3 linked regions of the Oreochromis niloticus genome follow. The protein of the gene in region 3 interacts with the protein of the main gene of each other region in a pairwise test. Links are inferred from orthologs where the notes say so. Each region holds a gene or a part of one and is shown on either strand. Other genes may lie near its edges. The genes, in order: akap12b, mybpc1 and fhl1a.

What was found.
Region 1: the proteins of fhl1a (region 3) and akap12b interact in binary tests that used the Homo sapiens proteins (3 or more experiments, as listed by UniProt). The link is inferred for Oreochromis niloticus from reciprocal best matches to the Homo sapiens genes FHL1 and AKAP12.
Region 2: the proteins of fhl1a (region 3) and mybpc1 interact in a two-hybrid assay, tested with the Homo sapiens proteins (2 studies listed by BioGRID and IntAct). The link is inferred for Oreochromis niloticus from reciprocal best matches to the Homo sapiens genes FHL1 and MYBPC1.

What each region holds. Positions count from the first base shown.
Region 1 is NC_031980.2:11,537,137-11,547,739, reverse strand, and holds the start of akap12b (A-kinase anchor protein 12b), read right to left. Parts: upstream 4,189-10,603; 5' UTR 3,995-4,188; coding exon 3,860-3,994; intron 2,529-3,859; exon of another isoform or gene 2,496-2,528; intron 1-2,495. Other genes in the region: mthfd1l (monofunctional C1-tetrahydrofolate synthase, mitochondrial), read right to left, coding at 9,238-9,327. UniProt on the Homo sapiens protein: Anchoring protein that mediates the subcellular compartmentation of protein kinase A (PKA) and protein kinase C (PKC).
Region 2 is NC_031981.2:14,132,411-14,142,914, reverse strand, and holds the start of mybpc1 (myosin-binding protein C, slow-type), read left to right. Parts: upstream 1-5,815; 5' UTR 5,816-6,035; coding exon 6,036-6,057; intron 6,058-10,504. Other genes in the region: spi2 (GA-binding protein alpha chain), read left to right, coding at 686-688, 775-859, 944-1,029, 1,157-1,310, 1,681-1,985. UniProt on the Homo sapiens protein: Thick filament-associated protein located in the crossbridge region of vertebrate striated muscle a bands. Slow skeletal protein that binds to both myosin and actin.
Region 3 is NC_031966.2:19,264,108-19,274,216, forward strand, and holds the start of fhl1a (four and a half LIM domains protein 1a), read left to right. Parts: upstream 1-6,170; 5' UTR 6,171-6,271; coding exon 6,272-6,290; intron 6,291-8,842; coding exon 8,843-9,024; intron 9,025-9,981; coding exon 9,982-10,109.

The sequences.
Region 1 (10,603 bases), on a different chromosome or scaffold from region 3:
GGAAACACCTACTTAAATTACAAGCGTAATGTGATCGTTTTGATAACACTCGTGAGGTCGAGGAGACGCAGTGGTATGAGCAAGGCGGGCCGTGGCGCTGGTGGAGAGGGAGACATTTCTAACATTCCTCTGTGGAGTGAGGAGGATATTTATCGACTGTGTATCAAGCATGAAGGCTCCAACCGCTACAACCAACAAAGCACACACACGCTTCCCGCTCTCGCCCCAAAATACAACATATTATACAAATGTACGTGAAAATAGACCCTTAAAGATTACATGCTTTGTCTAACTCTGATGTTTGTTCTGAATAAATGGATTTAAAATATCTGTTTTCATCTTAGATAGACGTGTATCACTTACAGAGAAAACAGCAGTTTTCCAGCGACTCCTTTCTTTTGGTGGGATGGTTCAAGTATAAAATACTTGGGAGCCACAGACAAGGTCATGGTTCTCCTCTGTGCTGGACGACACACGTACAAGGTTTAAAAGGAAAACAGCAAGAAAACGTCTGAAGTCTTGACTAGAGGTCAAATACCTGTCAGTTTAACTGACGTGGAAATATTTGTTTAGTCTTTAAAATCTCATTTTCATACAAAACACAGCCGAAGCTCCAGCTTCCGGCTTTTTTAATTAGATTATGTGTGGCTGTTGTTGAGATTTTTATTTGCTGGACAAACAAGCGATTCATTAAAAAAAAAAAACTCTAGGAAGGTTTTAGTTTGAGGAGTTTTTTAAAGACATTATTTAAAAAGTAACAGTTCAGAGAATGAAGAAAACAATAGAAACCAGAAAACATGTCAAATATTTAAACTGAGAAAATGAACTATTTTGAGGAAAAACCGAGTTAATTTGGCAACAGGTGAGCAAAATGAATGGACATAAAAAAGAGCATCTTATAGAGGCTGAGCTTCTCAGAGTTGAAGATTGACAGAGGTTCAACAATTGTGAAGATTCTGATCATCTCATCATCTATGGTGTATAATATCGCAGAAAAATTCTGGAGAAATCTCTGTGCGCAAGGAACGAGGCTTAAAAACAATGCTGGCTGCCCGTGTTCGTCAGGCCCTCAGACGGCAGAGCATTAAAAACAAGCGTGATTCTGACAAAGAAATCACCGCGTGGCCTCAGGAACACTTCCATGATCGCTGTCTGTGATCCAAAAATGCCTTCAGTGGGCCGAAGCTCATTTAGGCTGTTCTGTGGTCAGACAAATCGAAATGTGAAATTCTTTTAGGAAAACGTGGACACAGCAACTTCTTCTACACATTAAAGAGCGTGTCATCAGCACTCAAACGCTTAAATCTCTGATGATATGGGAGTGTGGTAGTGCCTATAGAATGGGCAGCTTGCACATCTGGAAAGGCACCATCAGTGCTGAAAGGCATACAAAGGATTTAAAGCAACATATGCTCCCATCCAGGTCTCCCCAACAAACTCTTGGCAAAAGAACGAATGAAGAAATTAAATGAACTGATACTTTTCTCAAAATGTTTCCTTTTCTCATTTTAGACATGTGATGTGTTTTCTTTTCAGTGGAAGTGACAAAAGATTCAGCAGCAACATCATCTCTGCGAGTGGTGACTCTTACTCAAGAACACACAAACCTTGTTTTCAGTGTTGTTTCCATGCGGGTAGTATTTTCCTTTTACTGAACCACACATACTAAACAAACCACTAGAGAAGAAAACATCCATTTACCCATGACTAGAGGCTCATGCTTGCAACAGCGTGCAAAGTGAGCTCGCTCCAACTGAGAGGAAAAGTTAGTAAATTTCACTTTTTTTTGGAGGGCGTAAAAGGTCTCCTTAAAGATCCATGACTCTGCTCCAATTAGAAATAAAGATCTGTCCTACAAATTCTCATTTTTTTCCACAAATTAAGTAATATTTGATACTAGCTGGTAATAACTGATGTGGAAAAAGCAAAACAGCATGACTGGAAATTTACTGTCAGTGACAGAGACGTAGACTGGGAATCACAAACTGTTCCAACCTGTCACGGTTGAAATCACAGAGAATAACAGATGTATCTAAAACACCCCGGAGGTTTGAAATATTGCATATCACAAAGTCCCCACAGTTAGTTGGAAATACAAGTGAAAACACTGCAATCCATGATGACACCTGAGATAAGAGCTCGAGGCTTGAGGCTAAAACGTCCAACCGCCACACAGACGTTCTTTGGAAATAAACAAGAAGCAACGACCGTGATTCAAATCTGGATTAGATTCTTAATGTACCCCCCCCCCCCTTACCCCACCCAAGGTATCATGTGACCTCTCTGCTGACCTTAAAGAGACTGAGATGGGCCACAAAATGTAACCTGTTGCCCTCTAATCTATAAAACACTCAATAAATCCAATGGGTTATGTGAGGCGTGAACAGAGCAGAAGGTGAAGACATAAATAGTTCTTAGTAGGCACTTTCCAAATATGCATTCACACAATACTGAGCAACTGACACATTGGTAAGAGTGCAGTGTTTGCAGGATACCTCAGGTGGTGGCAGCTGGACCCCAGCATGGTGCAGGGCTAAAGCAGTGAAAACAGCATATTAGCTTTTTGGAATAGGAATATTTTATATACTTTTAATTTCAAATGTGGAAAAAAACAGAACAAAAGTTAATGAGAAATAAAAATACATTCATTATCTTTAAATTCTGCACTTTCCTGCACTTTCAGAGGGACTCGGGAAGTGTCATCTGACTTAAATGTGACACTAGAGTTGGAAAACTGCCCAGCTTATGGGAAATGTAAAGCATTTTAATGCTGTTTACTCCTAACAGCTGAGTCACGAGATCAAAGTGCTTGATTTGATTGGATTTCATTTGAAGGGAAAGGTTTAAATAATTAGCTGATCAGTGGGCCTGTTTATTTTTTCCCCATCAGTCATTTCTCAAGCACAAATGCCAAACCTTCTCCTCCAAAAGAATTTGGCGCTAGATAAAAACTGAATGTTTTCATCTTTGTGTCTAAGACTGTTAAAGTGGTGGCATCTTGGGCTTTGAGACATCATAACAGGCATTTTAACTATTTCCTGTCTTGCAGAGATAAAATAAAAACAGGTGTTTCTTCAGTGCTCTAACATCAACATTGACATTGGACTAACAACACCACCTCTTGAACTGTAATGCATGTAGTTTTAAAATTATGTAATGAAAATCTGAGTATCTATCAGATTTCTGTTTATTAACACATTTTATTTTCTTAGTTTTAATTGTTTGGGGGTTTCTTTGTTTTTTACCTTTTTGTGCCATCTTTAAAAAGATGTGGGAATTACAAAGAACATTGGGATTAATAGTTTATGATGAAGTATAAAAATAACTTTTGTCAATTTTTGCTGTTAAGGAACATTAATTATGCAATCATCGGTCCCTGTGAGAATCACATCCGTCATTTCTCCCGGTCAAAGCAGGCCGAAAGCGGTCAAATCAATCAGTTCCTACTCTATAAAGAAAAATATGCTCGTTATCCGGGACTAAACGGTGCCCTGTGTGGCTGTAAACCTGGACCAGGCTGAGCTGCTGCTGGCGTTTTATTACTGCGGGACTGCAGACTCGACCCATTACTCAGCAAAAACAGCGTCAGGCGCACATGGAGCTGGTGCGCTGCAGCACATTACTCATGCACACAGCGAAGCACATGATTTGAGGCTGGGGGGCGGGATGGGGGGCGACAGGTATGTTTGCAAACATGTAGGTGAACTCACAATAAATGCACAAAACGACAGCTTTTACAGCTGGAAGCATACGCAGATACAGCCCCCCGCCCCCGGGTCTGTCTCTCTGCTCACCGTGCAGGGGTGGGGGGGTCTTGTTTACTGTGACAGAGCTAAAAAGGCGCAAGTGTCGGCTGTACCTTGCTGTCCAGGACGCTGTCTCCCTCCTGGTGCGCCTTCACTTCTGCGCTGAGATCCCCGGCGGAGGCTGAAGCTGAGGCTGAGGCATCCTCCTGGCTCTTCCCGTCCTGCTGCGCTGAGTTCTGTGCTCCCATGGCCAACTCTTTTCGTCTTTGGCTACTTTCGGTCTAAATAAGCCTCCGCAATAAACGGAGCCAGAGCAGAACGACTGTGTTTAGGGAGCGAATATCCAAAGCGTCCGATGTACGATGCAGCTCCGCCCCGGGGTGGCCTGGATCTGGAGTGATGAAGCGTCGGCACTGGCAAACTCTTTCAGGACGCCCCCACCTCTTGCATCTCCCGTCAGTATCACATGGGGGGCTCCGGTGTGCAGCGGCACGCCTTGCAGGAGCAGAGTTGGATGGAGGATAAACAAACGAGGGAAGAGGAGGTCAAGTAATTAAAAGGATAAAGGGCCTTTTCTTCACACGCCGCATTAATCCGTTAGTTTTGTTCTGTTCTGGTAAATTAAATTTGAGCAATTTTAAAAACACAGCAATGACACGAGGGTAGAAATCCGACAAGTTTGAGCAGAAGTTGTAAACATCACCACTGATGCCACTGGTAAAAAGAGAAATTAAGAAGAGTCATTGGGCATAAAAAACAGTGAAATAAAATCAAACCATGGTGCACATTATTTCTTGATTTTGGTGACAGGAAGCATATATAAGGACAAAATTTACCTGTGCACTTTTACAGTTTGGTCCATGAGTTGCTGGAAAATGACACATTTTTTCCACATTCAATGAGTTTTAAATAAGTCAAAGTGTGAGAAAAGTGCAGACTTGTAATTCAAGTGGTTTAACAACAAAAATGCATTTTTTAAATTTTTTTTTTAGGAATTAAAGACATTTTTATGCATAGAGCCCGATTTTCAGAGGCGCAGATTGAATTGGTCAGCTGACTGATAAGCAGCTAAGACCTCTTCCCTTGTTGTCATGACAAATTTAATCAAAGATCTAGTTCATTCAGAATATTGAACTTGCATTTAGTAGCTTTCACTGGAATATCTAACACGAGAAAAGAAGATAACAAAAGGTGGTCAAGAGGTGCAAACCACTGGTTACACTCAAGAACAAGATTTGACTTTGCCAAATATAGATATAGATATATAAATGTTGTAATTCTTGCACCAGAATGATAGGAAGAGAAAAATATGGAGAGAAGGAAAGAGAACAGCTTGTGATCGGTCAAACATAGTGGAGGAAGGTAAATGTATGGCTGCAGAGGAACTGGCTCACTGGTGTTTTTTGATGACAGAAATAGCAGGATGAACTGTGAAGTGTACAGAGCTACACTCTCTGCTCAGATTCAGACAAATGCTACAAAATTAATCATACAGCATTTTACAGTCCAAATGGATAATGATCCAAAGCTTACTGCAAAAGCAACCTGAGACTGTCTCACAAAGAAATGAGAAATGGCCACATCAGTTACTTGATCTTAACCCAAACAGAGTATGCTTTTCAGATATTTAATACAAAACTGAATGCAGAAGGACCCGCAAACAAGTGACGACGAGTGGCAGGGTGAATTGTGACAGAATGACGGCAGCAAAATGGTATTTAGACATGCTGGGCAGAGCTGAAGATGCAGGATAGACAGAATTACATATCCATGAGAGAGACAGCTCAGGTTGATCAGTTTGGAGACAAAGTTAGAGAAGAGGATGCTAGGGGTAGGGTAAGACTTCTCCTCCTGTTTAAAAAGGTTCTCCTGGCTTTACTTTGACATCCACCTCATTTTGTATTGCAGAGAAAACAATCTTTCTTGTGCTTCATGTGAAAACACTAACACAACCTTCATAACACTTGCAACACAACAAACAGTGTCTCTGTTATTCCAGCTGAATTCGCTCCATGACGTAATCTCTCTGACATCTCTTTAGATCCTGATTTTTAATCTTGTTTACATTTTGCTGTGATTCATTGTTCTGATGAAGTGTGTGTACAGTTACTCTGGTTTACAGAACTGGTTTGTAGGTAATTGTAATTGTAGGTTGAGTCAATGTGTCATTTTGTTTGGAATTTTTGAACACAAAAATTATAGTCCAAAATTTTAAGCCAAGTTCACACACGCCTAAACTTAAGGTCCCGACAGCTAAACCAAAACACAAACCCAAGCACGTAGTGCAACAACACAAATGAAGGCTTTACACAGAGAAACACTCAGAAATAACAGGATATAACCTGTCAAACAGTAAAACACACAGGACACATTATACAACTATGAAACAATAACAGCAACATGAGCTGAAAGGGACTGGAGATCATCTGCTACTTACTGGTAATATAAGGTGGACTCATTTAAAGCAACATACACTGATTGTTATGACCACTCACTGCTGCTTTATACATCTTTTATTTTTTCTCCAGTAAAAATAGCTTTGTGTCATGGAGACTTCCATCTTTGAATTTTTAAAACCCTTTTGACTTTGTAAACTGGCTTTGACTGGGATTTATTTGAGACTTCCAGAAAGATTTGATTTAAATGTAAGTATGTCTAGAAGATAAGGCAAAATGTCTGAATCTAATAAACAATGGTAACATCATTGTTCTGATGCAGCCAAAGTGATGTTTAATGTCCCTTAGCAAGGTGCACCTCGATCAGTCCAGTTTTGGTAGCCATCATCAAGCTTCTGGCATAATTCTGCTTGGATATTTGCCCACTATTCTTGGGATAATTGGTATAGTTCATTGATTTGATTACTTAGAAGCTGGGACCACGCCAGGAAATCATAGCCAACAAGTTTTCAGTAGGGTTTAGGTCGGGACTTTGGGAAGATTAATGGGAAACTGGTTAGGATGATCAGAAACAATCATGGAACCACTAAGGCTCAAGCTTGCAATGAAATGGAAAGTGCTAGAACTCTGTCCACAGTGAAGCCAGTCTACATTGCCATTTACTGTCCGCATAGACAAGCCAAAGAAAAGTTTTGGGGAGAAAAGATAGAGCTATTGGGCCACAGTGAAAAGAGGAATGTGGAGATTTCAAGAAGAGTAACTGAACACAGTATTACAATAACACTCAGATGTCAAGCAGAGCTGACAATCTTGTAAAATCTCGAACAAACTCATGAACACCAACTGAGACAGCAAGACAGAGGGTATGTCCACACTATAAATGAGCAGTATTGTAGTGCCGGTGTCACATGGAAGAGGAAAAAGGAAGGATGTTCTCATTACACTGAAAGCATTACTAGATATGTCATGCTCAGAGCTCTATGAAATAGTAGCGTAAGGGTACGTTAAAGGCACATTTAGAGGAGGGAGTGTTCAGCAATATTCACAAGCAGATACTCGCCACTTTATAGTTTTCTGCAGACTGGATGGCTCTAGAATATGAACCAGTTTGTTTATTTGAGAAGCATAGCATATAGACCCAGGACTGCTGAGCAGCTAGAATCTAAACTAATTGAATAACTTTCAATAGAGGACCCAGTTAATGTAGCACTTTTTTAGTATAAAGGTATTGAAACAACTGAGAGTGAATTGGATGTTTGGGGACCAGGATCATTCAGCTTCAACTATTTGGACCAATTTTCCAGAAACTCTTGGAATTCCTCTCACATGAAATATTCAACAGGACACTGTCCTTGGTACTGAAATTGGAAAATCTATTAAATCTGTCCAGAAGTGCTAAAAGATGAGAGCCTAAACAATTTCTCAGATGGAGTCAAAAACTCATTGTAAACAACTCTAACCGAACAAAACAAGGATCTGTCAGCGCATTACAGTGCAATGCCAAAGTGTACAGCTTATCAACACATCTTTAAATCTGTCATCAGATCAAAACAAGAGGGTTCAGTCTCTCTCGCTCTCTCACACACACACACACACACACACACACACACACACACACACACACTAAATCTGCTGTTGGGGTGCTACTGTATAAGATTCCCACTGCCAGGTGAACACGCAGAATAACACGGAGACTTTGAAAGTGTGGAATGCCAGCTATGACACATGTGCACACATGCACACTTGGCTTCATGCTGAAAACCCAAACACCTCATAATGACAGATGTTGCACCCTGGGGTGCTGCTGGGGGGTGGGGGTGGGGATCATCTGTTTTCAGACACCGTTCCAAAACACATGGGAAGAAATGAGAAAAGCACAGACAATCTTAAAGGTTTCATCCGTGAAAGGAGGCACGATTGTATCGCAGCATCTCAAAAAGAATCGCGAGACGATAGCAAGAAAACAGCTCATGTCAGATGCTTGACGTAAAAACAGAAATACACAGTTTTGGAGTGAAGAAAAGGTTTATTATTACTGCTGTAAGGCACTTTTGATCTTTGACAAATGAAATGTTTGACATACAGCAGCTTTCAGGATTGCACCAGATGTTTTCATATAGTACCTCTGTTTGTTTTACACTCTATGGAATAAAAGTGAAAATTCAGGGAATAGCTGACTTAATCTTTTCTGAAGGTAATACTTAAAGAAGCTCCGGAATCTAGTTGGTCGGTATTGTCTGAAATACCTCCAAACAACATATATAACATGACAGAAGCACAATGTATTCTTGTCAAACCACAAAACAAAATAATTTACTAATACTAAGAAAAAACTGCTTAGAAATTATGAACATAATTGACATTTGTAGTGTTTCCCAGTGTATGTAAAGCATCTTTAACATTCAGCACCACTTAACAGATTAGGACACTCAAAGTCACATGAATACTATCAGGGCTCTTTGTGCGTACACCAGCATCTTAATTCACAATTTTGCCTACTCACTGCATTTAGGTAAAAAACAACAACACTGTATTAAGACATTTGATTTTCTTTCCAGAAAAATAAACAGAAGTTAGACATCCAAGGAAACAACAAAATAAAATCCAAGTAAACAGACTCTTCTATACCCAGAAAAAAGTTGACACAAGTAGAGGATGTATGATATACATATATATGGTTGTAGGGCACGGTCTTTGGCATATGACACACGTGCAAATGCAGCATAATGCTAATCTAATGGTCCGCTAATCCTCCCTCTTCTTCCATGTTGCTTTGATGCGGATCAGCTGGGAAGAGAAAGAAATTGTTTCCTGCCAGTGGCGCTGGGGTTAGATGAGCCTTATGGTGAATGCATGGAGCCCATGATCCTGAAAACAGAGCAGGGAGCCTGGGAACCAAAAAACAAAAACAAAGATGTTTGCAGGGCCTCTGAGCCTGGAGACGCAGCAAAATCCCGGCAGCCAGTCGATGTAACGAACCGTACTGTCAATAGCTGCTTGTGAAATATGTAAAGCGAAACAATGGCAGCTTCTTCAGAATAATTTATATGATACAGATGAGATGATACCCACGAGAATAACGTTGAGGAGCATGCTCAGAAGAGCCCAGTGATCTCCTCCGTGACCGGGTCAAGGTCAATGTCGTAGAAACAGGGTCGTGTGGGCAGGCCAGGCATTGTGCTCATCTGAGGGAAAACACATCAGAGAAGAACTTTAACCCATATTTGAACTCTTATAAATCTAATTTTGATCTATTTAATTTTAATTATGTCAATCATTTACTGTCATCATGTACCCAACAAAGAGTTTGATGAGAAGTCACCAAAAATGCATATATGGAGATATCAGACCACAGAATTAAGAGAATAACTAGCAGCCACTGCTAATCAAATGCTAGAGGTTGATTTATAAGCTACTGAATTAATGGACGCACTAAAAACCTTTTTATGTGACAATCCACGTTGCCTAGAAATGAAAAAGATGCTCAGATGACATTAAACTCATCAACAAGCAATAGAATTTGGAAAGAAAAAAGAATATGTCTGTCGTCTACCATTATCCTAATCTAGTTGAATTTCAAGAAAGCTTTTAATGAGTGGACATATCCGAGGAAGCACACGCAGCTGGTACAGATCTTCTCATGAAACTGTCAGTGGCCACAAAAATCAGATAAGAAGGTAAAATTACAATCTATATAATGACCTCACATTAAGGCCGTCACCACAACACAGCTGCTCTACACCAAAACACCATCTGCCAACATTTAGCATCACAACTTGTGTAAATTAGACAGAATAGGGTCATTCCACACAAGCTCAATAACTGTAATCTAGACTTAATTTAACTCAAGGTTGGCGGTGATGAATACGCCCGCAGAAAATGGCAGCTTTGTTTTTACTGTTGTCAAAATATAAACGAAAGGAGGTCCTGCAGGTACGAGACAGTTAATAAGCGCTATGTGAAGTCAGAGAGAATCACAGTTTTGATTTGGGCATTAAGAAGCTCAACTGAGATATATTTTAGAGTTTTAAAAATAGAAAAACATAAACGGAAAAATGTTTAGAGGGCCTTGTAATTATTTTACATTAAAAGGTTTTGATCCATCGCATCTGCCAGAAGGACTTCGTGTTTAAGTTTCTGAATGACAATGAGTCAACAGAGGAACGGTCCTGTTAATCCTGATCATGTTTACAGAGCAACGAGAAAGCTTGTGTCAGATACGGAGCATCACGGGGAAGTACATTGAGACAGACTCTAGAAGAAGAAAAGACACGCAAGAGGCTGGAAATGCTGCCAAAAGAAATTTGACATTATCAGAACAGAGCATGGTTCACGAGATGTTGACATCAAGCTGTCTAAGCAACTAATTAAAAGTTTATAGTCAGGTCTGGGTGTCTTTTACATAGTAGGGGGGAAAAGGGCATGTTTTGCACAGTTCAATGGATCAAAGACTCATATGTG
Region 2 (10,504 bases), on a different chromosome or scaffold from region 3:
TTAAAATTCTAATGATCATTTTTACATGACATGTAAATATTAAGTGGAAAATATTTTACATGGTTGCACTACTCTTTATCCATAAATACTAAGATATAATAATTTAATTGGTAAGGATTAAATAATTTTCTCAGTATTGTTCAGTTTTGCTGAGTTGAAAATATCATTGTCTTTCAATGATTCAACATCTGTCCAAAAAAATAAAAAAAATAAAAATAAAGCTACACGCTGCTATTATCATGCAAAAATATATTTTAAAAAAACATGTTGAAAGATTTGGCACCGTCTGCAATGCAGTGAAATATTACAACAGGCACACAAAATATGAAATTAAGACACATCCTGTGAGGAAAAATGTGTCAGCAAGTGTGTGTTTTCCTGAATCGAGAGCATTGTGTAGAAGCTGCCTCCAGGCCAGGTCTTATCTGGTTCAGCGGGGAGGATGTGGTCAGTGCTGGGAGGCTTTGTTGATGGGTTGACTGGTGCTTGTGTCGGGGGCTTTGTGGGATGGTGGTCATTGTTCCTGCGAGCCCAGGGTAGAAAACGTTTGGTTTTATGTATGCAGAAAGCCCGCTCCCGTGGGGGGTATAATAAGAGTCCCCGAACTTGAGTGTCTCAGTGTCAGTTGTGTGTAATTCTCCCATTCTGCAAGGACTGTACTGCATTCGAATCAACCTTATCAGTGATGGTAAAGAGAAGTCTTCAGAATTTCTTGCAACATCTTTTCAATTCTGACATATTCAAGGCTGGTTTTATATTATTTACATCTATCAGAATTTTTTCCAGGAGACTCAGTCTGATTTGGAGGTTATATTAGAGTTCCTCGAGGAGTATCACAGACAAAACAATGCAGAAAATGGTAAGCAGAAAATGGAAATCTACTAATTATTCTCTGATTTTATTTGACTACAGCTTCTAAGTAATTTTCTGCTTTTTCTGACAGACAAGGTGCGTTGGACGGCTATGGAGGAAAGAAATGTACCTGCAGACGAAACATGCAAGCAACTCTGGGCATACTATGAGCCACCTGTATGCATCAATACTTTGTATTTTAGCACTTGTTTTCTCTCACTTATTTAAAGGCTGGTAAGCACTCTGCAATTGGAAATTCTGTTTCTCTTCTTTTCTTTTCTTCATCTTTTTTCCCTAATTGAAGAACATCAAACCTGCACTCCAGCCCTTTCTTGCACAAGATGCTCCAGCAGGACTCGGCCAAAACACAACAGCAACACTGTCTGAGCGTGGGTCAGTGCCAAGCTTCGCGACAACAAGAAAATCAACCAAACACCCAGCCGCAGTAGGGAGGAGTGGTGAGTTCTGCTTTTTTTGGTCACTGGATACTGTTATTGTCTCTGTTGCTATCAGCATGAGGGAAATAATACCAAGAGAGCAAATAAGAGACCTTCCCTTTACCGTAAAAAACAATGGAGCCGTGCATCGCTTACCACAATAGCTGTTTTTACATATCTATCAGATAATCACACTGTTTACAGCTTTAGCCTCTCCACTAAATGGCATCCCATCACTGAAGAGATTTTCTGGGAATATGCGACAATTGAGGAAACGATTAACTGTAATCTGTAGTAACTGTTTTGGCACAGCTGCCATGATTTTCGTTAAGTCTTTCTTTAAATCCACCTTCATCATACAGGCCACTTACTGTTTGCATAATGGCTGCAGGTAAAAGGGTGCGACTCTTTCACTTCCTTTTTGAGATGCTGGAGAATCCAAACATGGCCCACTGTTTGTCCTGGGTGCCAGCTGCCGCCGGTGTTTTCCGCTTTTCCTCCAGGAATAAGGACCAGGTGGCTGCACTGTGGGGACAGAGAAAAGGCAACAAGAGACCCATGACCTACCAGAAGATGTCCAGGGCGCTTAGAAACTACGCCCGGTCTGGAGAGATCTTCAAGGTGAAGAAGAAGCTCACCTATCAGTTTAGCCGAGACACCCTGATGTTGCTGCAGAAATGTCATCGAGATTTGTAATGCAGGCTCAATTTTCTGTAGCTCATATCATGTGAAGTGAACTGTGCTCTTTTTTTCCTGTTTATAAAGTCTGTTAATCTCAACTTTCATTTCCTACATTTTTCCATTATTACTTAGATATTGTACTATTGATGGCTTGTGGTGTAAATATCAAAAGAATAAAGAAATATTTTACTGTTACTGTTTCTATCTTTATGGAGTTTGACTTTTAAACTTTTTTATTAGTAAATGTCCCAATCGAACTGCTGTGGAGCTTTTTTTTTTTGCATCTGTGAGGTAGAATATAATTGATGGACAGTCAGAGGCTTCAATGCAGAAATGAATTTATTCAAAATCTGGTTATTCTGGTTTATGGAGGCAAGAACGGTGCAAGTGTAAAACAAAGATGTGCTTATTAATGTTTTTTAATGCAAATTTCCAGAGACTTTATCAGGGCTGAGATAAAATGCATACATACAAATAATGTTTTGGCTTTTGACTTTCTGCCGGACTACCTCCATTTAAAAAAATATTTTTTGGAAAACTTTTACATAAACATCGAAGTTTTCCAATCCGTGTGCCACAAACAGCTGAAATCACTCACCGTACACCTAATTACACATTTGAAGCTCATTTGAAGATTTTATAAAGAACAGGTCCACATAATATTTGCATGTTTCTGATGCGGCTTCAGGAAGTATTGAATGAATCAGCTGAAAGACTAGATATATCTCTCAGGTCCTGTGTCAGGGTATTTCTGGATTTTTTCCTATTTCTTAAGGAAATAACTTTGAGATAATTTTCACCTGTTGTTTTTTTTAAGGCCTGCCATTTCTTCTTTTTTGCAGTCCACTTATCCAGTTTCCTCAGTTTTTTAAGAACATGCTACATAGCATGCTGAGACATGCCAAGTTTTTGGCTGAAAGCTATCTGGGAATCACCTTTTATGCCTGTCAAACCTTTAGCACTTTTACCTTCACTGTTACCTTTAGCACTTTTTGTAGGTTGAACTAAAGAAATTATGTGTTTTTGCAATGCACATGCAACTGCGAGTCACAAAGTTCATAAAGACAGAACTTAAAATTGACCCATTGTTAATTTTCTGTTATGTGTAGACCCAATACTGGTTCATCCCTTGAGTTAGGTGTTAGGTTTAAGGCCTTTTTTAGTAGTCTTAAGTAGCTTAACAAACAAAAATGTTATTCTGAAAGTGGTCAGGTACGAGGACTGGACTAAAAATGAGTGAAAAACTTTCAGAAAGCCTGGAGAAATGATACTTAAGACCACTTAAAAAACACAAGAAAGTCTGGCTGCATGGAAGCAAAATACAAAGAAAGGAGGGGTGTCTTGAAACTTTTGCACAGTATGGTATTTAATAAAAATGCGATAAAAACCTTTTATAAGTTTTCACACTTGAGATTTTAAACTATGTGATGTGGAAAAAAAGCCACACAGAGGTGGGCTATTTGATGTTTATTTTTTTATGTTATTTATTCAGCGTGTAAATGCCCCACTTTGCAAGACAGCTATATATTTCATAACTGGACATTATACTTGATGCCCAGCTACAGCATTGATTTAGCATGGAAAACGCACTGTTATCCTAACTGTCTGTAATCTAACAATGTAATTGAGTATCACAGTTTCAAGCCCGGAGCATATGCACACAGGTGCAGTTAATTAACTCTGCTCAGGTTTCAGGTGAATCCCCACTCCTCAATATCTGTATACGATCTAGAATACAAAATAACCAACAGAGGGAGAGAAATGTGAATTAAGTCCCGTTCGTTGACCACTGAAGTCCTGAAATTTCAAATCCATGTGTGGGTAAGGTCTTTACATAAGCAGATAGTTTGTAATTATTCCTTACTAAATATAATTTCTTCTGCAAGCATGTCTCCATATGTCCTAAAAAATACATCTATCCAAAATACACTTTTGGTTGTGAGTATTTTACAGGAAAAACTGTAGTTTTTAGTCACACGTTCTCCTGGAAACAAAGTTGCCTTTGTCTTTCTCAATCTACAGAAATGTGCATTTGCACTTGTGTTTTTCCTCATGTGATGGATTTGATGGCTGCTAGAAGCCAGAGGGTGTCAGTGTAGTCCTTTTCAACGCCTCCAGCTTCCATTAAACTTCATTTGTGTGATGTGACCTCACGGCTTAGCCTCCTCTGTGATGAGAAGTCTCGTCCCTCACAGGCAACTCCAAATGGTTTTGTTCTCTTTGTAGCCCACATGATACTTCCCTAAGCCTAGTATTTACTGCTGGAGCCCACTTGCAGTTATAAATGGGCTAACTGAGCTATGGTTGTCTGTTACCAAGAAAGGCCACAAAGTGAACTATGAAAATAGGCATTTAAGGCAGGAGTGTATGATAAATTGAATGCTTCCTAATCACAGGATGATAATTTGCTTTGGTTTGCAGTATGGGTCTAATTTTGTTGCTGCTCATTTAAAAAGAGCTTTGCTATAAGCTGTGACTGTCTGGGCAGTGATGCCACATTTTCTTCATAATGCTTTAAGCTGCATTCCTGCTCCACAGCCCCAAAATAGAGCTCAGCCTTGCCTTGACTGTGCAGTTGGGCCATCCATTTCCATACGAGAGAGATCCCCAACATGCTCGTGATATTTGTTAGTAGCAGGAGAGTGACACTGTACATGTGAGGATGCTTCAGTGTGTTGGCGCTCGTAAATCCATCAGCTTTCAACCTTGTTATTTAGTCTTCAAGACCTTATTAAAGACTACGTTTGATTTATCACTTGAGTTTGACGTGCTAAAAAGATTAATTAGGACCAAAGCAACCCTTTCAGTTACATAAATCTCAATGAAACCCTCTTTTCATGTCAGATACACATGTCAAATGTCAAGGTTTATGACAGCTTTCTAAGTATAGGCCGTATAACCAGTGCCCAGGCATCTCCCCACTATTTATTTGCCAGGTCGGAAAGCCTGCTGTTCTTGGACAGCATTCCCATTGGATTAAGCTGATATCTGGCACCTGGCATTGAGCCCCTGCTTGTCAACTCTAAGTTTTTTCTTTTTTTTGAATAACGAATCCATACATTCTCTGAATATGTCGTATATCATGTGAGCATAACCCAGGATTGTCGGAGAGTATTACATCAGCCTCGGGCCTGTTAACAATGACGACACCTTTTCCTTTTATATCCCACCTCCTGTTTTGCCAGTGATCTACCGCGGAAGCAATCTTAGTAGTAATGATATTGCAAAGTAAGATAAATAATAAAGGCTACAGTAAATAATTTCAAGACTAATTAGTCAATCTAATGTTGATATTTTGGAAAAATCCAAAATCTGGAATTTCCATAATTCCACATGTAGCTGAATGTACTGTACAGCACCACAGCGACATATTTATTTGATCACAATGTATGTGTGCGGTCTATTTTTAGGTCGATCCCACATATATCACGCTGCAGCTTTAAATACGAGCTAGTAAACAATATCTGCTACTGAAAATACTCTCCACTAAATACAAAGTTTAAGCCTTTGTAAGCACAGCTTACTACAAAAACAAACAAATCTTAAACAATCCATCTGTGTGTTTAAATGCTCAAACAATGATTTTTTATAATGTTACTACTCTAAAACACCACCCAAAATATGCTGTAAACACTGATGCAAACTTTGAAAATCAGTCAAGTTAAAAGTGTTGTGAATTTAACATCCTGATGCACTTGTAATTCATGGCATCGCATGGGGATAGGGGACAATAATGTTACAGTAGGTATAGGATGGAGCTGCATTGTCAACTACAGAGAGGAGGAGCATGCCACATCTCTATATAAGGCCTAAAAGCCTGTCCCTCCTTGATCTGTTATCGGTCCCCCTCTTCTCCCCACTGACTTTTCCAAACCGTATCCCTGTGCCCTCTTTATCTCCCATCACTCTGCTGCAAGGGGTCTCTGAGGGTTTTTATTCACTATTGTCCTGCTCACCATCAGCACCTATCTGTCCCTCCTGGACTGAGGAGGCTCCCACGCCTCACACAAGAATCCTACCTGCATCTTTTGACTCCTTGGTAGCTTCTTTGGGACGCAGCTCAAGATGCCAGAGCCAACAAAGAAAGGTAGGAGTTTTAACAGTATGTTGCCAGCATGCAGCTGGGGTCCAACCACCAGTTGCAGTTTATGTTTTAATTGTTTTAAAAAGTACAAATGCTGAGAATTTGCAACAGTTAAAGGTTTACAATGTGGTTCTGCTTTTTTTATTTGTTTGATTGAGGGCAGCACAGTTTGTTGTTACTGGCTGTGAGGAGCTCCATCACTCTGGCTTGCCTGCCAGCTTGTTCATAGGAATCCTCAAAGTGACTTTGAAAGTGGTATTGTATTACTGATGCGTGCGTGTTTCTACCATCCTTGGTACAAGAGAAGATTTGAGGCGTACAAACAGATAGTATTATTGCAAAGCTTGGCATACTGGATCGGTTTAGATTGATTTGACTGGGGAAAGACACGATGGTGAAGCACAGGAGAGGAAAGGAATGATGAGTGCTAAGGCACAGGAAAAAACTACCCCTGAGGGATGATGCAAGCTGGATAAAAAGTGCGAGGGTTGAACCGTGTAAGGATAAATAACATCTTGATTGTAGATATCTTCCAATTGAGTTTTTGTTCAACTGCAGCTTCACCATCCCCTGTCGCGCCCTCATGTTGGATCTTTCTTTCGCACTTGATTGTCATTCATCTGTACCATCATGTCCATCAACATTCCCTTTTAATCCACTTGTGTCTGTCATTACCTTATGGAATTACTCCCACTCTACCCATTAGCTCAGCTCTCTGGGTAGCATCTGTTGTTGACCCAGACATGCCCATGTAGAGGAAATCAAATGTTTTGTTCAGCTTTTGGATGGCTTCCAAATTACAGATAATCAAACTTTCAAAATCTGTGATTCTCTAGAAGAGGATTGATGTGACCATACCAGCTCTTGGACTGCTGTGCATTGTTTGCACATCTCTTTGTAAACAAATACATCTCTGTATTTGATTTACCTTCCATTAAAATTTGTTGTAGGTGTTTGAAAGGACTGAGGGTTGTCGTACATCAAGCAAGCTTTGCCTTTTAGATCGTAAAGCATTATAAATACTGGATTAAAGGATTAACTTGACAATCTGAAAGCTACAAAACCCTAACAGTACCTTACAGTACAAATTTAGCTCCCTTTCTATTTGCGTCGTTTGCGGTTAAGAGAGTGTGATGTGCGAAGTGATGTGACAATCAATACCTGTCCTTACAGAGTTCATCTGGTGCCATGACCATCCATGATCCCTCGGGAATCAAGGCTGTGGTGAATTAAAGGCAGCAGATTCCTGTCTGCTACAAACACTACCCATAAATAGCTGCACAGCCCCAAGCAGCAGATAAATAAGGGCGGAAAAGTATTGTTCTTTAAATGAGTCTGAACAGCTGAAGAGGAGGAGGGTAGGGGCTGTTGTTTTAGACACCCGGCTCTCAAGCCTTTAAAAAGTCCCAACCAGAGATGACGGAGTGGTTGAGTTGTCCCTGGATCTCTAGGGAGCAGGATTCTTGTCCCTGGAATAGTTCAGAATGAGCACACTTTTAATCCCCATCCCTTGTTCACTGCCATCTCCTTTCACTGCCCCTCCTCCACGCCAAAACAGACACCTCCCTGCCACCCTGTGCTCAGGATGGATCACTCAGAGGTCAGGCAGCTCCCTATTAAATCTCCAAATCTGTGCCCAGCGATCCTCATGAACTGTGACAAAATTTCAGAGGTAGTAAAGGCCACGTTTTTACCTCGTGATATTTATTGTCACTAAGGTCCAACACTCCCCTGGGCTTTATCCTCAAATACTTGTGTTACTGAATACCACCTAGCAAATCAAGCCCATGATGAAATACACAGGGGAAACCTGTCAGCAACTAACTGCCACTCAAGTGCTGATTCCTAAAGGGTCCTTCAGTGTAGTTGTTATCAAAGCAAACTAGAAACAAGTCAAAGTAAATGGAGAAACTAAAGCACCAGAAAGGGTCTGGTTATATTAGCTTTAGCTTTAGTGTCTTATCAGAGCAATCGGGGTCTATATTAGGAAAAATGAAGCCTCTGGCCGTTTAGCTTCCATACACATATGAGCCCTTCTGTCTGCACGCCAGCAGCAGCGACAGCTGAAAATACCTGCAGCTCCGTCAGCTGCACTGAGAGTCCTCAGAGGTAAAACAAAACCTTTCTCCACTCTCATTATCTCTACGGTGATGAGACAGAGAGCAAGGCTCGCTCTTGGGTACATGATGTGACCCTGCAGGATTCTGGCACACGGGCCAGCAACACATTGTTTTGGAGTGAGACAGGACTGTGGCTAATTTTGACAAGGAATGCTAAGAGGGAATCATTACAAATGGAGGGATATCAGAAGCTAAGTGGCAACGCAAGAAAATGTATATATGTCAGTAGACATGCTGCACAAGGAATTAGGGTTACAGTTTTCACTGATGGGCTTCAAACAGGTGGCAGTGACAAGATGGGACAATACACGGAGGAAGGAAAGTTTTCTTACAGGGATACAGACATTTCAACAATATTCCACCCTTGGGATTCCCATATGTTCACCCACTGACATTTAATGTCATGAATATGAAGTACTAAGTTCACTTTTTTAAATATACATTTTTATGGCTGTAATAACAGGTTTAAACAATCTCCACATCTCACATTTTTCTTGAATCCAAGGTGTTTTAGTACCAAAAAACCCTCTAATAAACTTATATATATATATATATATATATGTATATATATATATATATATATATATATATATATATATATATATATATATATATATATATATATATATATAGCGTATATATATATAGCGTATATATATATATATATATATATATATATATATACGCTATCCAGCAGCTGGATAGCGTAGTGGTTAAACTACACGCCTTTGGAGCAGAAGATCGCAAGTTCGATTCCTGCCTGGGGCGTCTGTATCCAGTAAGGGTCCTAAGGCTAGACCCCCTATGCTAAAGTGAGCCTACCGCAGACATGAGCGAGACAGATAAATATGAAGGCATGCCGGCTCGGACGTCGCCCGGATCAACAAGGTCCGCGTCAGGTGTTGAGGAACCGGGGCACCCTGACGACAAGTGGGCTACTGGAACAAGAAGGCATCGGTGGGCAAGAGACGAAAACAGGGCGTTGTTGGAATGCTACTACGCAAGTAACCCTGGCGGAAGGGGTTACATGAATAGGATGAGGGACCTATGGATTCTTCGATACCCAACATCCACAATGACGGCGAAACAACTGGTAGCTCAGTGTTCCAACATTCGAAAGAAGGGACTGCTCTCACAGCTAGAGATTGACGAGGTACAACATAAATGCTACGGCAAGGAGGAGTCAGGACGCCAGGTCAGGGGGGAGATATCATCACCCCCACCCGAGATTGGGTACATAGCCCCAAGTGCGATAGGAGAAGGATCGTTGAGTGCGAGAGGAACTGACCTGAAAGATAGGATCATGGCCAAGCTTGAAACCTGGACCCCCCCTAGCCGGTTACCAAGATTACGTGAAGTACCCTCAGAAGGTCTGCTAGATGATGTTAATGCAGCACTACGGATGATACCTACAACCACGATTACCGACACTAACAAGCTGATCTACACTACGGCAGCAGTGATCAGTGAGATGCTTGGCTACAAGTTGAACAGCCACAAGGGGCAGTACCCTCCATGGAGAAGGAGGCTAGAGGGCAAGATCAAAGTAGCACGAAGGGAGGTTAGCCAACTAACGGAGTTGCAGAAAGGCGCGACAAAGAAGGTGCATAAGAAATACAGCAAGCTGTCCATACCTGAGGCCTTGGAAACTGCCAAGCAAAGACTCACAGCCTTGGCCAGCCGCTTGAGGAGGTACACCAGAGAGATAGAAGGCAGGAGAATAAACCAGCTGTTCTCCGCAGAACCAGCAAAGGTGTACTCTCAGTGGCAAGGGAACAATAACAGAACAGCACCACCAAGGCTGGAGACGGAGCAGTACTGGAAGAGCATATGGGAGAAGGACGCAACCCATAACGGCAATGCTCAGTGGCTAGTGGATCTGAGGGCAGACCATAGCGACCTCCCTGAACAGGGTCCAGTAACCATCACAGTGGCAGACATCCAAGAAAGGGTCTCCAGTATGAAGAGTTGGACAGCACCAGGGCCCGACATGGTTCACGCCTACTGGCTGAAGAAGCTGACTGCACTCCACGAGCGTCTGGCAGCACAAATGAACCAGCTGCTAGTTAACGAGAGACACCCGGAATGGCTAACCGAAGGTCGGACGGTCCTGATCCCCAAGGACCCCAAGAAGGGACCGGTCCCATCCAACTACCGACCAATAACCTGCCTCAGTACTACATGGAAGCTCCTGTCAGGCATCATATCGGCTAAGATGAACAGGCACATGGGTCAATACATGAGCGGGGCACAGAAAGGGATTGGCAAGAATACCAGAGGCGCAAAACACCAGCTACTGGTAGACAGAACAGTCAGCCGAGACTGCAAGA
Region 3 (10,109 bases):
ATAAGAGCAGCACCTTTTCAGCATTTAATCATCACTTTGTAATTGTGCTGGAAGAACTTTGGGGCTTAAGCTTGCAAGCTGCAAGTATTTACTTTGAGTTTTAGAATGAGTCATCTTGATGTTATTCGTCTATTCATTACCAAAGAAGGAGGCAAGTGAGGCCAGCACAGAAGTGGGACAAAAGTGTGTGAAGTTAACAAGTCAGACTATTTTTTTCATTTTTTTTTATTTATTTATTTATTTTTTGTAGAATCAAAACTGAAAAAACAAAAAAATGCTGCAAGCGTTAATAATTTCATACCACAGGTTTCCTGTAGCGCAGACCTGCCGTGACACCCGCTAATGAATGTCAAAGTGTCAGTGCTCGCTGATGCAGATAAATGATAAACGATTCCTTTGTCTTGACTGTAGGACCGATGAGAACTTCGCTAAGAGGGCTTGTAAATTCCTGGCTGAGGTCATTGTTTATGAGCGCTTACAGAGGTTTGGCTGATGTCCTCAAGCTTCTTTTTTTTTCCTTTGCTCCCCCTGTCTTTAAAGCCTCGTCGCCTCAGCAGATTTCACCTCTCGGCCAAACCCACTGGACGCACTGCTGGCGTAGAGTGAAAGGCGCTCATCTTTACGCGTTGCAAAGGTGAGTCCAAACCGCAGCGCATTATTAGGCAGCTGCTAAAGTTCGCTTTAGTTTATGTGAAACAAGGAGCGGTTTATCACAAGGATGTTTGTGCCAAAAACTTACACTTAAAATGCGTAATTGTTACTTTTCTTCCTTATCGGACGGACATTTCAGACATTTAAGTTAATTACGCAAAGTGTCCGTGTGGAAATATGTAACATGCTTGAATTACTCTGAAATCAGCTGCCTATTTCATGCACTATGGCACGCAACAGGTGATGCGCTTTGTTTAGGGCGTCAGCCCGCATATATTTAAATGAAGAAGAAAATGTTCTTTTATGTATTCCGTATGTTTATAGATATATGCTTATGCTTACTTTTATTAGCAAATTAACTAATTCTAAGGTAATCTGTGAGGAACTCTTATATACTATATAATATCTGGATATAACTCATTTACACTCATAAGAATAGTTGCAAGAATATTGCTTTGGATTGGAAATCTAGTAACGGTTTGTACTGACATATATGTGCTACAGATACATTTTTGTTTGTATAATGAAGAGCAAAACCCAAAGGTATGATGTGTGGCCATAAACTGTGACAGCATAAACCAGCTTACCATCTCCTCCCTTCCCGTTTGGGCAGCTGCCAAACCAAATGCATGATGTCATTAAAGAGACCTGGAGATTACCGCTTTTTCTTTGGAACACTGGACCTTTTTGTGTTTCCAGTATGACTTCACCATCCTTCAAAATCCATAAAAACTTTGTACTTAAATGGGACATAAATTAACCCAGTTTCAAACTAAAAAGACTGTTCCTCCTGTCTAAGTCTTTTTTCTTTTTTTAACTTTTAGTAAAATCAGTATAAAAGCAGTGTACACATCCAAGCAGGGAGTGACAGATTATTCATTTATAAAGCCTGTTATGTGATATATAGTTGATATACATTTAAAGTGCTATGTGTCAGTGCCTGTGAGGGTACCTTACATCAACATCTGCCACACTTAGGCAACTGGGGGGGGTGTTTAAGCCAGCAGTTTATCCTGACAGAGACATACTTTAGTTAAGAGGGAAGTTCCATCATTTCTTTCATATGTGTAAACAGAGTGAAGAGAGAGACAAACAAAGAGGTTCTGCCTGAGTGCTGATGACTGAGTTGATGAAACGCATGAAACAGCGCTCTCACCAGCCCAGAACCTAAATAGGCAATGCTGCTTGTTTATCTGTGTGGGCCGACCCCGCTGAGAGGAAGTAATATCCTCTCTGTGCTCTGTGTAGATGTACTAGTCCTCCTTTATTTTCCCTCTTTAGCCACACAAAAAACAAACAAACAGAACATCGCTGAGAAAAATGTGATTGGGATTCTTTATCCTTTTGAAAGGACGGATCATGTTGTTATACGGTCTTTTATATACAAGTTCAATGTCAACACAAAAAGAGCAAATTTACACTGCTGAATATTAAAGTTATACGTAATTAAGTGCACAAGTGTGCAAAATGTGCCCATTTACAGTCATTACACAAAAATTAATTAGCATGTCACTGTAGCTGTTTGATGTGGGACTGAGTTCAACAGATTTAAATAGCTATATTTCTGTTCTGTATATGCTTTTATACAACTGCTATAGCCGTCAGTTAAATGCAACTGAGTGAAAGGTCATGCAATTTGGAAAGTATGACTTTATTTCATGTTAATTCCAACCTAAGTCAGTCTTAGAGTAACAAATGATTATGATGACATAGATCATGGTGTGATTTGGCCTGGAGAAGTAGGATAATGACTATGAAATTTAAAAAAAAAAAGGTACCCTTTTGCTGTTTAACATTATTTTATACGTACAAGTATAACATTGTATTACTCTGACAACCAGAACGCTGACGTGTGTTAGCAACACTCACATCTAAGATATATTAGTTCAACAAGAGTGTTACTGTGTTGATCGACCGTCCCTTGTGGCCTTTTCATTGGAATATATTTGACCTCGGCGTGTTTGGGTCTTGCAGTCTCATCCTGACCTTATGTCCATCTTGTAACACAGCTCCGCACATGAACAAATGGTTGGTGCGCTATGTCGCTGTGTGTGTGTTTCTGTGTGTGTTTGGTGAGTCACTGTTCCCCTGACAGAGATAGTGCGGCTCAGGCTGTCTGCCCACTAACCAGATTTGGAGGGTGACTGAGACACTGAGATGTCCAGGACACGAGGTCATGTTGAGAAATGAGCTCTCAGACAAATAGACAAGGGTTTTGTTGCTGTTGGTAACAATGAGAATGAGGGTGGCTGCCTATGTCAGTCACCCCGAATGACTTGTTATTATTCAGGAAGTACAGGCCAGATTTCCTGTCTCTCGGCGCTGCCAGCTTAGAGAGGTGTTAGATAAAGAGCCTGGAACCTCTACCTAAAAATTCATCAAATTCATTGCGTCTCACAACAGGAGCAGTTTCAAAAGTACACACACTGTGTGAGAGGGCATATAACTGCCTGTATTACTGTCTGTTTCCATCAGCAGTGTGGATGACTTTACAGCCTTTGTCCTCCTTTTTTCTCTAAATGTAAAAATGGCAAATTTATTACATCACCAACCTGGATTTTCTTATTTGGAACATATTTTAGTGAGTCAGCTGACCAGGGGTTATTTGGGTTTCCCAAAAAAGGATAAGTAGCAGCCAGGTACTTTTAATCAAATGCACTTGAATCACTGATCATCAGTAAATGTGAGCACATCTATAACAGCAGAGATTTTGGCAGTTTGCTGTTCTGGAGCGTTCAGTTGTGTCTTTAAGGGATGCCTAGAGGGAAAGACATCAGCAATGATCTCAAAGAAGCAATTGTTACTGCCCGTCAGTCAGGGAAGGGTTATGAGGTCATTTCCATACTGTCAGGCTTTGCAATGCTCAGAGAAACTGCAAAAAAACACCAAAAACCAAAGTGCTACATCTCAGACTTTGATAGCATGTTACTTCTGAAAAGCTGTATCTGAACAGGCTACAATGCCCTTTGGACAGGCGCTACTAAATTGGAGATGTGTGGCCATAATGCAGAACACCATGTTTGGAGAAAACCAAAAAGCATGTCAGCATAAATACCTCATACCAACTGTCGAGCAAGGTGGCAGAGGGTGACGTTTGAATTCGGTTGTCAGCCATCTGTCTGACAGCTGAATTTTGACCTAAATTGGGGCAGGCAGCAGGCCAACGATCCCAAGCAGAGGAACAAATATACAGCAGAATGACTGAAAAACAAAAGAATCACGGTGTTGCAAAAGCCTAGTCAGAGTCCAGACCTCAACCAGACTGAAATGCTGCGGTGAGACCTTAAAAAAACCTGTGAATGAACTGAAGCGACGTTGTACAGAAAAGTGGGACAAAATTCCTCCACAATGTTGTGAGAGACTGATAAGTACATGCAGAAAACAATTACTTTAAATTATTGCAGGCAGTTCTGCAAGTTAATGAAACGTGGATGTACACTATGTCATGTGTTGTTCTTCATTTGAGGTTTTACTTATATAAGGAAATTTAAATTTTAATATCTGGTAATATCTGGATGATCTATTATGTCCTGATGTGTAAAACCTTCTAAATGACAGAGTGTGTACCTTAATATTAAAAAATAAAAAGAAAGAAAAAAAATCCACCGTTTACCACCATCATCATAATTATCCCATTATCAGTTATTCAGTTTGTCAAACTGTTAGACTGTGACCTTTCCAATTTTCCATGGAGTATTTTGCCCCACCCCTTATCTTAAAAATTCACATGAAGTCAATGCAACAATGAGAGGAATGCATCGCAGTGCAGATAAGGAGATAAAGACTAAGACAGATGACCCAAACAAACTAAGGGAGAAAAAGGATGTGGGGCAAAATTATCTGGTTACAGACATAATAATCTGAAACAAGACTTAAATTTAAGTATGCAAATAAACTGAGAAGTAACAGATTTCCTGAGCAGACCATCTACTGGAGATTTTTATAGGCTTGGGAGTCATGGCGCCTCTCGACATATTGATTAGTCTTTGTGGGTTTGCAGTAATTGCGTGACAGATTATAAAAGAGAACAAATGTAATATTGTGTTCTATGGTAATGGACCAAATCGAATCTGTAATTACAACCAGATGCCCTTTAAACAGTGTGGCAGAAGCACACAGACACACACTCACTAGTTTGTGTGTATATTTAGATGTGTTTTGTGAGCAACATAGGACATTTTCTTTTCTATACACTGGTTAGGGAATAAATAGAGAGTTTTATGGTTCCCAACTCATTAGACTTTACTTTCTGTTAGTCTGTGGGCTTTCACTTTCCTTTAATTTTCGTCGTGGTCTTATATTTCTGGCTTTAAACTTGTCTGACTCTAAAAGCTTGAATGAATCAGAAGAAAGTGCTTTCTGTAGTTCTGCATTTGAGCTGACAAGATGATGAGAAAACAAGATGATGGTGACCATAATGTTTCTGGTATTAGTAGAAACAGTGGAAGTTAACTGAATGTAAGGAAGAACATAACATTAGGTCAAACGCTAGAACACAACTTTACTGTTTTAATTTACTCTTTATGCTTTTATATCTTTGTTTTAGGAAACAGCAGGTAGTTTCTTTAAAATTGTTATAAAAATATGTTGTAGACGACCTGCAAAACAACTGGCTAACATAGTGGAACATTTTGATACAAGTATTTACCTTAAGGAGTTTTCATAGACCATATCACAGCTAAAGAAATGTGAACATATTAGTTATATCTGATATACTGATTGATCCGGTGGTCAAATAGATAGCTCCAAATAATGATAATGTTGTTCCATATGTGCTGTTTGCTAACCAGAAGGGTTTTTTTTCTACTCATGACTTGGGAACCTGTCTTTTGTTTCTGTAAAATAATATCTAATCATTTTGGCCTCATGTTTCGTTAATAATAACAAATGTTTCTGTTTCAGCTGTTGGTCTGGGTTAAGTATTGTAATTGGATGAGGAGAATTGGTTTTGGCGAGAGTATTAGTGAGGAATTTGTGGGTGTTTCCTCTGGATTTAAATACAATATTCTTTCCTGAAATCTGAATCAACAAGATAACAGAGAAAGAATTCAGCACTCTTGGCTTCATTTTTTTCTATTCTTCAAACCCCACTAGTTTTCTCCATAGTATCCACTCATGAATATATAAGAGGAGATCCTTATATAACTCTCCACCAAACAGCTTCCCTCCTCAGCTCAATCAATATCAACTTGTTCCTCTTGTGAGTCATCCCTTTAAATTATCCCACATTTCAGCTGTACATCTTCTGAAGAGCCTAACAAAACATTTAAAGTCAGGGCAGTGGGAGTATCTGTTATCCCTCGCGGTCATCATTCAAACCCCCCAGACTGTGTTTTCCTCTTTTTTTTCCACCTGCTGATGTTACAGCAGAGGAATCCAATCTGCATCACCTAATCTCTGCATCATACTCTCTCTCTCATCAATCTATTCTCTAATGCATTCCCTAAAAAGGACAGGAGGGTTGAAGGTTGGATTTGGATGTGGGGTCGGGTCACAGAGGGGTATATACAGCCCCCCATTTCTTAACAAGATGTGTGGTCTCCAGGTTTGACCCTCTGTGGATGCTACTGACCCTGTGTTATCTTTCTTTTCTTCTTTTCGGCCTTTCTGGAAGGCAAACATGACATACAGACACTCAGGTAAAAACTTTTTGCCTGTTTTTTTTTTTCTAATCTGGTGCAAAATGTTTTTGTAACAGGTAAGAAGAACAGGTCTGTTTTCAGATAATGAAGTCAATGTGTTGTTTCTGATTGTTTTCAGAGAAACGGAGCAGGTCCGCTGAGATTTTCTTGATGTGTGAAACAACCTCACCTGTAATATGAATACGGGCTATTTTTAAATGATCAGTTTTAACATCTTCAGGTGGTAGTTTAAATTTTAATCAAAAACCTCACTAAAGTTCTGATACAGATATAACATTTCCCTTTGGATCAAAACAAATCTACAGAATAGTATGTATTAAAAAAACAAAACTTGAATTCAAGGACCTTTTTTTCACTTCAGAAGGTGGATGAGTAAATTAACACCACAATTAAAGCTCAAATATTCCCTGTACTTTATTTACTTTTCATGAAATGTAAAAAAAACATCCAGAGAAAAAGCATTTAATAAATTTTAGTCAATTATACTATGTGATAAGATAAGTATGCCAGTTTATTTTGTTCACCTAGCTGAAGCTGATGTAGCTGCATTGAATTTTACCTTCTGCGTGAATGTAATATTGAGTATTTATTGAAACGGTGTTTAAAAGGCTGATTGAACTCACAACTCTCATTTTAGAGGACGGGTTTGTGATTGTTAAATAGCATACATAACTACATATATAGTTACATCTACTTACACTATGGAGAATTTTGTATTTTTCTGCAGTAAAATAACTTAGTGGACCCAATAACTCCTCAATATATTGTATCATCATGAAAAGGCCATGTTGTACTATGGATTTGTGGTTTAATATTACAATGTGTGGATGTTCAATTATGTAGTGATTGTTTAAATGTGTTCAGGGGCCTATTTTGAAATTTTGGAAATTGTTCTTGCCATGCACCTTTACCTCTATAACACTTTCACATGAAGATGGGAACTTTTTCAGTAGGCCTTCTTTAAGGAATGTTAGAATCAGAGGCAAAGAACAGAACACGTCAACAGATATTATTTCGGCTGATATTCAGTCTGTCCAGTGTTTGACTCACTTCTTGAAGTGGTCTCACTGTGACCTTTCCCACTAAAGAGGACTCCTCCCCGAAGGGAGCACAGTGGTATACACCTCTCCCACCACAGCTGAGCATCATTGTACATCACGGCTGTTTGACAGGGGGCAGCTGTCACGCTGTTTGCAACAGCAGATTAAAGTCCTGGAAATGTGTCAGCTGGAGCCACAATAGCTGCATAGTCCCAGCAGTCATCAGTCTGCATCCATCTACATTTGTCCACTTTGGAAGGTCAATGGACTTTAAATAGAGTGTCCAAGTCTAAAATAGATCTCCGGGCTTGCTGGGCTTAGTAATGTGTACTGTGTGTGATTTGACAAGGTTGACTGTGTTGGACTGAAGGGGGTTTTGCCATGAAATGCTACAAGGGGGTGAGTTTAGATGGAGTAGGGCGTGTCACTGCTCAGGCCCCAGTCCAGTCTTTATCCCTCGAGCACAGCTGCAGAACAGGGCACACCACATAGCTCGCATCTCTTTCACGTGGCTTTTTTACCACATCTTACTTAAATAGCTCCCTGCATAAATGTTTTCTTTGCTCCTATGGTTACTGGGACAATTGTCATACCCTGCGTTGTTTCCTCTGTAGCTGTTGTTGCATCGCATTAAAATGATATCTGTGTATCCAAATAAATCAATTTTTCTAAAGTTCACAGACTGTTCAGCTACCCGTTCTGGCTTCCAGATAAGCTTTTAAAATGATCTAGATAGTGCTTATTTGTCCACCCTATGAATAACTATTTATACCAGAAAATGACTCCCACTGGATGTCAACTGTGATAGGAATGCAGGAATGTTGACCGATAAAGTAGCAAAGCCAGTCTGACATAAAGTTTACAATATCATCTAATAAAGTGACCTGGCCAAAACGCAAGACAAAAGATCGAATGTGGGCCGGGGCTCTGGGGAGACAGCTTTGAGGTGGAGGGGGTGAAGGGAATGAGTCAAATGGTCTAAAAATAAGCTTTCCAGGGAGAGCTTGATAAAAAAGTCTACAGGCCAGGAAACATGCAATCAACAAGTAGACATCTGTGGGCTGCTTTTTTACCTCACTCACACTTCTCTCATCACTTTGGTATGCTGCTGTTAGAGCCACATGTCATAGTGTCTCAATGGGAAAACAGAAAAAACATATACATCTTTCCACTGAAGACTAAATCTAAATTCAGCATCTATTTTTTTAGGTTAAGAGGTCAGATGTATATATTCATATATGTGGGTGGAATGTATTGTTGCTTATATTCAACCTGTCAATATAAGCAACTTCAAACTTACTCATTTGTTTGCTCTTAAACGCTCATTCTGAGCTGCCACTATAAGGGGTTCAAAATGCTTTATATGGCGATTCCATGGCTGTAGAAAAAGCAACAGTGCCCCCTGCTGGTGCTACAAGGAAACATCCTGTCATGTAGGCAGACCTAAACGTGGAGAGCAGATTCGCTGCACACATTCAGTGACACTCTCCTCCTCTCGTCTCCTCACAGGTCCCAGGAGTTATCTAACCTCCACCATGACTGATCGCTTTGACTGCTACTACTGCCGTGACAATCTGCATGGCAAGAAGTATGTGAAGAAGGATGACAAGCACGTGTGCACCAAGTGCTTCGATAAGCTCTGCGCCAATACGTGCGCAGAGTGCAGACGCCCCATTGGTGCTGACTCCAAGGTGAAAATAGTGTGGATGGAAAAGAATGATTTTTTTTTCTTGTTTAAACTTTGAGTGTAATATAAAGATTTCTTTTGTAATTGAAAAGAAAATACACACATGAATATATCCTAAACACTATTATACTTAATAGTTGTTCTTTTATTTGGTTCAATGCAAAGATCCTTAAATGGGTTAGGGTTTCTGAAGTCTTCTAGATATTCCTCGCAGATTCCAAAGACAAAATAAAAACATTTTAAAAATCATTTTGCAGAGAAGGAGACTTCAGATCTGCTTATAGCCCATTTTCACATCAGCCATGCTGAGTAGACCCAGGGTGCCAGCTATCTGAATTTAAAAATGCCTTTTGTAGATGTAAATCGTCACTAATGCAGACTGTCAGCTTTAATTCAAGGCCTTTAACTAAATTATAAACAGTTTAGGTGTAACAGCCAGTTTTATTCACAGGGCCTTAAAGTAACTGGACAAACTAAAATAACCTGACATAAGGGATTGTTCCTAATAATTTCCTCAAAATCCTTTGAAGGCAGTATTTGCTTGACCTTGCTGCTTGTCCAAATAATTGTGGACCTAACTGTATGTACTATAGGTTCAGAGTGCTTTCTGGCTTTAACTTGAGGTCTGGCTATTATAAAGCACCGACTTCTGCCTTGAAAATGCTCTCAGTACTCGGTCACAGGCAGTTAACTGTGTGAAAAGATGTGTCATTCCTAATAATGGAGCTTATGTACTTCATTGCGCATTTCCCCCATCTCAGTCCTCTAACTCCTTCATGGCTCACCACACCCTACTTCACTTCATTACCACTTTTATGCTGGTCACATAGGTTTGTTCTCTATTCGGCCCCTGAGCCTCAGTCCACATGATGAGTAAACAAACTCCATTTTAATGAGGGCTGCATGAGGACTTAGTGAGGGCACCTCTGCTCACCTCCCCACCCCTGCTTTTTCCCCTCAGGAGCTGCACCACAAGAACCGCTACTGGCATGAGGACTGTTTCCGCTGTGCCAAGTGCTACAAGTCACTGGCCAGTGAGCCATTCAGCGCTCGGGATGATGGGAAGATAATGTGTGGCAAGTGCAGCTC